Linked DNA regions of Caenorhabditis elegans. The protein of the gene in region 1 purifies or fractionates together with the protein of each later gene. This does not show direct contact. Each region holds a gene or a part of one and is shown on either strand. Other genes may lie near its edges.

Region 1 (4,220 bases):
TTTTCGTGAATTTCTTGTCAAAAACCAAGTTTTTTCAGCGATTTTCCAACGTACTGAGCAGAATTAAACATTCGTTAATTGAAATTTTCTTCTTTAAATCCTCGAAAAAGAATGTGACTTGTTCACGGGCTTCTGACGTCACCAGGTTCGGTGGGGCCTGAAAAATTGGGGTTTTAGAGAATTTTTCCTGAAAAAAACCGAAAATTTGCCGTTTTTTTCACTCAAAAATTCGGAAAATCACGGATTTAACGATTATTCAGGAAAATTCAGAATTTTTTAGCAAATAATTGTTAAAATCTAACATTTATTTGAAATTTTCTGAAAATTTACCAATAAGGTTTGTGCATATCCTTCTATCGTCGCGAGATCCATTTATCGGTTTTTTCCTAAAAAATTTTAATTAATTTCTTTTTAATCTATTTTTTTTTCTTCCAAAATAATCCGCATTAGGTAATTCTTACCGTCATTTTTTCCCAAAAATTTTCCGCAAAAAAAATATTTTAAGACTACCATACTAATCAAATTTTTTTGCATGATTTCCACGACCGGGAAATCATACAAAAATATATTTATTTCGCTTGTTTTTGTGTCACTATTTACTCAAACGTATCACTATAACAACGGGTTACACACAAAAAAATAAAAAATAAATCGAAACATCTAATTTTTGGGGGTGACAGGAAGGATTTAAAGTGGGGAAAATTGGGGCGTCGAAACAGCGATAGTTTGAACAACAATGGATGTAGAAAAGGGACAGAGAGAGAGAGATATTTAGACGCAGGCAGCTCCAGAGATGATTTCGATAAGTTCGCGAGTAATCACTGCTTGACGAGTTCTGTTGAAGGCCAATGTAAGCTTGTCGATCATTTCTCCTGAAAAAATAGAAATTAAATTTGATGTTGTAGCTATTTTTTGGATTCTGTAGTTAACATTTGAGAAAAACAAGATTTCGCGCCGGTAAACGACACTCCGAAATCCCGTCGCTGCAAATTTTTTAATAACATTTTTGGGCAAGAAAATCTGGTTTTTCAGTAGAAAATGGATATTTAACGTTAAATTAAAATTCCACATGGTTTTAAAAAAATTGTAACAAAACAGATTCTCAACGATTTCCGACGTTTTTTTGCAGAAAATCGACCATTTTTAAAGTTTTGAAACAGTTTTTTTTGTTGAGAAAAGTAGTTTTTCGGCGATTTGCAACACGAAAACCGGATATTCCTAGAAAACAGAATGCGAACCATTCGAATCAGAAAATTGTCTGGAAATATAAAAGAATATTCGCGAAAAATCACGAAAATGAGCCGATTTTAACTCCAAAAATGCCCAAAATACGTTTTCCAGCAAAAATATCAAATTTCAAGCCCAAAATTGCAATTTTCTGGGCTGTTCAATCAGAAATCATCTAATTCTTCGCATCGTCGTCCATCGCCGCCTCTTACCGGCGTTCTTCGATGCTCCGTCCATGGCAGTCATTCTGGAGCTCTGCTCTGAGGTTGCGGATTCCTTCATTCCGTAGTAGATCAATTGGGCGAGCGAATACTCGGAATACGATTGGAGAACGTCATCGTCGACGGAATCGTACGTGCTGAGGGCTTCCTTGGCCTTGATTGCCTCCAATGGAAGAATTTGGAGCTTTGAGGTTTCGTACGAGACGACGGTCTTGAAACGGTTGAACAAGATGGTTCCCTGCAAGAAAAAAAAATGGGGGGTTTTTAACTAGAATTTGAATATTTACAGTCTCAAAGTCATATCCAGAGTCGAGGATAGCCTTGGCAGCGATGGAAGCATCAGCGAAGCTTGGTGGAGCACGTCCAATCTCGTTTCCGGAGAGAAGAATGCTGTTAGCTGGAAAATAAACACAATTTTAAGACTTTTTCCCGAGAAAAACCAAAATATTACCATAAAGACGTTGAAGTCCGGCTCTGGACTTGTCTCCGATGGCTACAACGCGGATTTCCTTGTCTCCGGCGTTGTTGAGGATGTTCTTGGCCTCCTTGACGATGGAAGAGTGAACTCCACCGCAAAGTCCTCTGTCGGAGGTAATGAGCACCAAAACTTGCTTCTTGGACTCTTGCTTCTCGACTCCCTCGACAACTGGATCGATGTTGTCGAAGAAGGTCTTGGCTCCGACTCCGTAGGCTCTAGCTCCCTGGAAAATTTTGATATTTAAAGATTTTTCTTGAATAAAATCAAAGTTTTACCTTCAACTCACGCTCAGCCTTGGCGTACTTGGCGGCGGCAACCATCTTCATGGATTTGGTGATCTTTTGGATGTTCTTGACCGACTTCAGACGGATGGAAATGTCCTGAAAATTGGAGAATTGTGGGAAGCTTCAAAAAATCGCCTAGTTACCTTCAAAGTGGCAAATCCACGAGCCTGCTCGGCATTGGCGAAGCCTTGAGACACAAGCTGGAGAGTTCCCGCGCCTTGACGAAGCATGATGACCCTGAAAACTGTAGATATTGAGAAAACGGGTATTTAAAAACTTCGAAAATGACGTAATTTCTTGAACGTTTTCAGGAAAAATTCAATGAGAATTTTCCATGTATGCATATATCAATGTTGAAATAAAAATTGCAAATTGTTTTCTATAGGTTTCAGAAAGGAAACGAAAAATGCGGACAAAACGCATTTTTACTTTCAGATTTAGACCTAATTTTATCAAAATCAGGCGCTCAGCACGCTGTTTTTACGTAATTCTAAATGAAAACTGTTAATTTTCAACAGAAAATCAATAAAAATTAAAGAAAAAACCTGAAAATCGCTGAAAATCCGTGGAAAAATGAATTTTCACGCGCAAAAAATGGCAACCGCCCGAGAAACATAAATCGCACACGCGAAACGACTGTGACCGTACCCCCATTTCGCGGCGAGACCCACCACACGCCGTAAATCCACACTGAGTTTTTGAATTAATTTTTTTTGTTTTTCAGCTGATTTTTGCTTAAAATTCGTCTTTTTCTTTGATTTTTTTACATGAAAATTACTGAAATGTATTGAATATAATTAAAAATTTGCAGATGACCGACAAAAACAACAGCGATTCCGATGAAGACATCGAAAGTCTCACAAATCATGAAACGTCGTTAGAGGCTGCGGCGAAAGCACGCAAACGACGATTACTAGCGATGAAGTCGAAGATTCATGGAATTGAGATGCAGTGAGTGTCATTTTCATTCAAAAATTGCATAATGCTATTGTTTTTCCTTTCAGAGAGGAGGATTACGACGAAGGCGAGACTTCTACCAAGAAAAGTCGCGAAGTTGGTCGAGAATTCCGGAATCACAAGCCAGACGATGCCGTCGGCACGCAAAACGTCGACATGGATCTGGATATCGTTCAGCGAGAAATTACGGAGCATTTGAAGGTAGAGAGTCATCGAAAAATCACAATTTTCCATAAATTCCCCGCTTTTTCTAGGACGTTCTGCACGAAAAAGCCATCGACAGCGTAGATCTGGCGATGTTGGCTCCGAAGAAGATCGATTGGGATTTGAAGCGAGACATCGAGTCGAAATTGCAAAAATTGGAGCGGAGAACGCAGAAAGCCGTGGCGACGATCATCAGACAGCGGCTCGCCGAAGGAAAAGGAGATCTCGCCGCTACAGTAAATGCTGCGGCGGCACAAAATTTGTAAAATTTAAATTATAAATCGGATATACACACTGAAAAATCTTGTTATCGAGTCACAAAGTATGAAAAAACAGAAATTCAGACAAATTTCAGGTTTTTTATGAACTTCCCGAACTCCCAGTAGCAAAAAAAATCGATTTTCGCTAAATCCTTCAGAACAAAACGTGTAATTTTGGCAAACTTTTCCGGCTCAAAAAGCTTTTGTGACAAATTCACTAATTTATTCTTTTTTTTCAAAGCTTTTAAGATCAAAAAAAACAACCGAAAAGTTTGGATCTTTTACTTTTTGCAGACGAGAAAGTTCCCTTTTTTCATTAAAATTCAGTGGAAAAAAGGGAATTCCTTCAGGAAATCTATGAAAAACAGGCAAAAGTATATATTTAATTATAGGTTACTATTGATCAACAGTTTCAAGAAATAATTCATTGGTGGTCATGAAAAAAGTTCAATGACATAATCAAGTCTTCTAGTAGGCAAAAATCAAGTCAATTCTCAATATTCCATGTCGACAGCAATACACTCGGCTCCTCCTTTCTTACGATCACCACCAAGATCTTCATCAATTCCAGTCGTTGCTTTCTTCTCAT
Region 2 (2,906 bases), on another chromosome or scaffold:
AAGAACTGCTCGTGAATTATGGGCAAATTCGAAAGTTGAAGGTTACACTTAAAATTGGAATATCTAGTTTTTAATGTATTATTTCAGGTGTCCGTCGTCTCCCTGCTTCGTTTTTATCGACTAAGTGAACTTTGATCGAATGAAAATATTGTCATTTGTCATTTGTATTATTCAACTACATTAAATTTAGAGTTTAATGGTGCATGAATCATTTTCCAGGACTCGGCGCGATTTTTTATGGAGGCTGAAGTTCTGTATTAATTTAACAACTGTACTTCTTCTTCATTTGAAATATTTTTAAACACTGCCATGCGTTCTAGCACGAGCGAAACTTGTAAGCCACCGTACCAGCACCTACACGAGGTACGGTAACTGAAAACTTTTTCACGTGCCAGGACCCCGTTCCGGGAGTTTGTTTTGTCGGATTTTTATTATTCTGGTCAATACTCATTTTTTCTCACTTTTTCAAACGCTTTCAAACAAAACTAAGAGTTTATTATTGCACACAAATCAATAAAAAATGCGGAAAATGGCATATTGCACCGAACTTGATGAAACCTATTTGTTTATTTTTTTCTCAAATGGAAATGATCAATTATCGAATGAATCTATTGAGACTTGGACACCATCTTTCCATTCTCCCAAGCAGTGGTCTTCAAGGTGGCTTGGGGCTTCTTCACGTTGGCGCCTCCCTGTAATTTTTGATAATTTTTGCGATTTTTCATACTTTGATGTGGGACAAAAATGTGTGAACCTTTAGGAGCCCAGTAATTAATTACCGGTAATTTTCAGAAACATATTACTTAATTGAAACCTATAGGTTATAACTTGAAAAATGATAAACAGAAAATTAACGGAACGGGTTACTGTACCACTTAAAGGGGCATATATTGTTATTTAAGGGTCCAACAAACCTTGGTGCACTGACGAACGACTTGTGCGGCGATTTGTGAATAACGGACGTAGTTGAGTCCAGCAGCTCTCCAGGCGACCATTTTTGATTTTGGGGGAAAGTTATTTAACCTTAATTTATACTATAAAATAATAAAATTTTCAGAAAAAGGAAGTAAATTGAAAGGTATGGAGAACAACCTTTAGACTAGAGAAATCTGTAAAATAAAAAATAAAAACTTTATACAGTCAAAGTTCAACAGGAAACTTGATAATATTCGAAAGTTACTGAATAATAATTAGTTGGTCCAAAATGGAAACAAAACTATCAATAAATATTTAATTACATTAAACTTATTTCTCATAGTTTTCAATGATATTCTCACTCCAGAACACTAATCAGTTAAGCTCATGCGTTTGTTGGTTATTCTTGCTCGTATGTTATTGTAAAATCTTGTTTAAAAAACAGCAAAACGTTTATTTAATAACAGAAAAAATAATAATTTTATTTACTGGAAGAGCAAAAGATACAAAAAAATGAATTACGCAATTGGGATGTGCGGGGATTTGGGGGCCGAATTGTGCAGAAACGAAACAAGTTGATTTCTTATGAAGAATGATAGGGGGATTTAGCAAGCAAGCTTTAAAGACACTCAAACGCATGCAAAAAACAATCATAGGAGTGTTGGTGGGTGACGGGGGGAAGAACCAGACAAAACCTCGTGTCAGATTAGTAAAACTGAAACAGGAAAATCGTATAGAAACAGACTATTAGAACAAAAAGGCGGAAAAAGGCAATTTGGGTGGGGGTGGAGGGAAGCTTTAAATACTTTTAGCTTTTGAAGTTTTGTATTCTACATGGAAGACGAGAAGCCAAGGAACGAAATGGGGAGACACAACCAACCAAATGAAGATATTTTTGTTGAAACTTCCAGAAGCCGCGTAATTGTATAAGTTACTAGATTTTAAAATAAACAGAAAAGCCCATCGAAAGTATATCACAAAGCCGGGAAAAGAAGAGAGATAGAGAAGCATTTGAATGTCAGTCTTCAGTGTATTGATTGGATCAAAGAAGACGATGAGTTGATGTTGTTGTTGGGAGACATTATGCTGAAAAACTTTGATTAGTGAAAAATGGACGGACAAAAGACTGTTAAATTTGATAATACGGTAGGAAGAAAAAGAAACACTCACTCTAATTCTAATTCATAGTATAATTACTTGTGAAAAATTACATGAGCACTAAAGAATTTTTTAAAAAATCTTAAATTTCTGCAATCAACTGTGAAATAGTCATTTTTGATGGTATCTGATTGCGAGATGTTGAAGGTGTAGATGTCTGACTAAACACACCGTTTGAGCCATTTGGAGCTCCTTGTGACATTCCTGCTGACGGAGACGTATACACTTGTCCTGGACGGATTGGCTTCACAATTTGTGGAGCATTCATTCGTCGCATGTTACGTTGTCGAACAGCTTCCTTGATTCGTTCAACTTCTTGTTGATACTTCTTTCGTTCTGCTTGACTACGTTGCTTCGAATCACGAAGAGCAGTTTCTAATATTTTGATGCGATCTTCACGACCACGAAGACGAGCTTCCATCTTTGGCAGTTCAACGCGCAAATCGGCATTGTCGCGAACAAGCTGAAAATTCAAGTTTTAAGATAATCAAAATGAGAATAAAAACGACAAACCTGCTTGTGAACCTTCGTCAACTTGTCCAAATTGTTCTCCAAGAACTGAATTCGTTGCTTTTGAGCTGGTCCACTGAGAGAATCTTCTCCCTCGGTGTCTTGATTGGCTTGGCATCGAGCAACAAGTACTCTCATGAACTCCTTTTTCAAATTTAGGGAAAATTCTGGAATGTTCCAGAACTTTCTAGAAAAATTGGGAAAAGTCTGGAATGTTCCAGAACTTTCTAGAAAAATTGGGAAAAGTCTGGAATGTTCCAGAACTTTCTAGAAAAATTGAGAAAAGTCTGGAATGTTCCAGAACTTTCTAGAAAAATTGGGAA
Region 3 (2,716 bases), on another chromosome or scaffold:
TGTTGCTCGATGCCAAGCCAATCAAGACACCGAGGGAGAAGATTCTCTCAGTGGACCAGCTCAAAAGCAACGAATTCAGTTCTTGGAGAACAATTTGGACAAGTTGACGAAGGTTCACAAGCAGGTTTGTCGTTTTTATTCTCATTTTGATTATCTTAAAACTTGAATTTTCAGCTTGTTCGCGACAATGCCGATTTGCGCGTTGAACTGCCAAAGATGGAAGCTCGTCTTCGTGGTCGTGAAGATCGCATCAAAATATTAGAAACTGCTCTTCGTGATTCGAAGCAACGTAGTCAAGCAGAACGAAAGAAGTATCAACAAGAAGTTGAACGAATCAAGGAAGCTGTTCGACAACGTAACATGCGACGAATGAATGCTCCACAAATTGTGAAGCCAATCCGTCCAGGACAAGTGTATACGTCTCCGTCAGCAGGAATGTCACAAGGAGCTCCAAATGGCTCAAACGGTGTGTTTAGTCAGACATCTACACCTTCAACATCTCGCAATCAGATACCATCAAAAATGACTATTTCACAGTTGATTGCAGAAATTTAAGATTTTTTTAAAAATTCTTTAGTGCTCATGTAATTTTTCACAAGTAATTATACTATGAATTAGAATTAGAGTGAGTGTTTCTTTTTCTTCCTACCGTATTATCAAATTTAACAGTCTTTTGTCCGTCCATTTTTCACTAATCAAAGTTTTTCAGCATAATGTCTCCCAACAACAACATCAACTCATCGTCTTCTTTGATCCAATCAATACACTGAAGACTGACATTCAAATGCTTCTCTATCTCTCTTCTTTTCCCGGCTTTGTGATATACTTTCGATGGGCTTTTCTGTTTATTTTAAAATCTAGTAACTTATACAATTACGCGGCTTCTGGAAGTTTCAACAAAAATATCTTCATTTGGTTGGTTGTGTCTCCCCATTTCGTTCCTTGGCTTCTCGTCTTCCATGTAGAATACAAAACTTCAAAAGCTAAAAGTATTTAAAGCTTCCCTCCACCCCCACCCAAATTGCCTTTTTCCGCCTTTTTGTTCTAATAGTCTGTTTCTATACGATTTTCCTGTTTCAGTTTTACTAATCTGACACGAGGTTTTGTCTGGTTCTTCCCCCCGTCACCCACCAACACTCCTATGATTGTTTTTTGCATGCGTTTGAGTGTCTTTAAAGCTTGCTTGCTAAATCCCCCTATCATTCTTCATAAGAAATCAACTTGTTTCGTTTCTGCACAATTCGGCCCCCAAATCCCCGCACATCCCAATTGCGTAATTCATTTTTTTGTATCTTTTGCTCTTCCAGTAAATAAAATTATTATTTTTTCTGTTATTAAATAAACGTTTTGCTGTTTTTTAAACAAGATTTTACAATAACATACGAGCAAGAATAACCAACAAACGCATGAGCTTAACTGATTAGTGTTCTGGAGTGAGAATATCATTGAAAACTATGAGAAATAAGTTTAATGTAATTAAATATTTATTGATAGTTTTGTTTCCATTTTGGACCAACTAATTATTATTCAGTAACTTTCGAATATTATCAAGTTTCCTGTTGAACTTTGACTGTATAAAGTTTTTATTTTTTATTTTACAGATTTCTCTAGTCTAAAGGTTGTTCTCCATACCTTTCAATTTACTTCCTTTTTCTGAAAATTTTATTATTTTATAGTATAAATTAAGGTTAAATAACTTTCCCCCAAAATCAAAAATGGTCGCCTGGAGAGCTGCTGGACTCAACTACGTCCGTTATTCACAAATCGCCGCACAAGTCGTTCGTCAGTGCACCAAGGTTTGTTGGACCCTTAAATAACAATATATGCCCCTTTAAGTGGTACAGTAACCCGTTCCGTTAATTTTCTGTTTATCATTTTTCAAGTTATAACCTATAGGTTTCAATTAAGTAATATGTTTCTGAAAATTACCGGTAATTAATTACTGGGCTCCTAAAGGTTCACACATTTTTGTCCCACATCAAAGTATGAAAAATCGCAAAAATTATCAAAAATTACAGGGAGGCGCCAACGTGAAGAAGCCCCAAGCCACCTTGAAGACCACTGCTTGGGAGAATGGAAAGATGGTGTCCAAGTCTCAATAGATTCATTCGATAATTGATCATTTCCATTTGAGAAAAAAATAAACAAATAGGTTTCATCAAGTTCGGTGCAATATGCCATTTTCCGCATTTTTTATTGATTTGTGTGCAATAATAAACTCTTAGTTTTGTTTGAAAGCGTTTGAAAAAGTGAGAAAAAATGAGTATTGACCAGAATAATAAAAATCCGACAAAACAAACTCCCGGAACGGGGTCCTGGCACGTGAAAAAGTTTTCAGTTACCGTACCTCGTGTAGGTGCTGGTACGGTGGCTTACAAGTTTCGCTCGTGCTAGAACGCATGGCAGTGTTTAAAAATATTTCAAATGAAGAAGAAGTACAGTTGTTAAATTAATACAGAACTTCAGCCTCCATAAAAAATCGCGCCGAGTCCTGGAAAATGATTCATGCACCATTAAACTCTAAATTTAATGTAGTTGAATAATACAAATGACAAATGACAATATTTTCATTCGATCAAAGTTCACTTAGTCGATAAAAACGAAGCAGGGAGACGACGGACACCTGAAATAATACATTAAAAACTAGATATTCCAATTTTAAGTGTAACCTTCAACTTTCGAATTTGCCCATAATTCACGAGCAGTTCTTCCATCG

Evidence for each region.
Region 2: the proteins of Y69A2AR.18 (region 1) and ZC262.5 purify together in Caenorhabditis elegans (affinity purification with mass spectrometry, with the first as the bait; one large-scale study listed by BioGRID). This does not show direct contact.
Region 3: the proteins of Y69A2AR.18 (region 1) and R05D3.6 purify together in Caenorhabditis elegans (affinity purification with mass spectrometry, with the first as the bait; one large-scale study listed by BioGRID). This does not show direct contact.

Annotation. Positions count from the first base shown.
Region 1 is NC_003282.8:2,493,969-2,498,188, reverse strand, and holds Y69A2AR.18 (F-ATPase gamma subunit), read right to left. Parts: upstream 2,455-4,220; 5' UTR 2,441-2,454; coding exon 2,354-2,440; intron 2,307-2,353; coding exon 2,202-2,306; intron 2,150-2,201; coding exon 1,900-2,149; intron 1,846-1,899; coding exon 1,736-1,845; intron 1,687-1,735; coding exon 1,440-1,686; intron 873-1,439; coding exon 772-872; 3' UTR 514-771; downstream 1-513. Other genes in the region: Y69A2AR.16 (Exportin-4), read right to left, coding at 55-157, 331-372; ccdc-12 (Coiled-coil domain-containing protein 12), read left to right, coding at 3,022-3,161, 3,215-3,368, 3,422-3,637; Y69A2AR.19 (Protein-tyrosine-phosphatase), read right to left, coding at 4,126-4,220.
Region 2 is NC_003281.10:8,341,616-8,344,521, forward strand, and holds ZC262.5 (Putative ATP synthase subunit epsilon, mitochondrial), read right to left. Parts: upstream 996-2,906; coding exon 915-995; intron 693-914; coding exon 609-692; downstream 1-608. Other genes in the region: ZC262.7 (Kinesin motor domain-containing protein), read right to left, coding at 2,156-2,536, 2,587-2,721. UniProt on the Caenorhabditis elegans protein: Mitochondrial membrane ATP synthase (F(1)F(0) ATP synthase or Complex V) produces ATP from ADP in the presence of a proton gradient across the membrane which is generated by electron transport complexes of the respiratory chain.
Region 3 is NC_003281.10:8,349,805-8,352,520, reverse strand, and holds R05D3.6 (Putative ATP synthase subunit epsilon, mitochondrial), read left to right. Parts: upstream 1-1,715; coding exon 1,716-1,796; intron 1,797-2,018; coding exon 2,019-2,102; downstream 2,103-2,716. Other genes in the region: unc-116 (Kinesin heavy chain), read left to right, coding at 1-124, 175-466, 710-714. UniProt on the Caenorhabditis elegans protein: Mitochondrial membrane ATP synthase (F(1)F(0) ATP synthase or Complex V) produces ATP from ADP in the presence of a proton gradient across the membrane which is generated by electron transport complexes of the respiratory chain.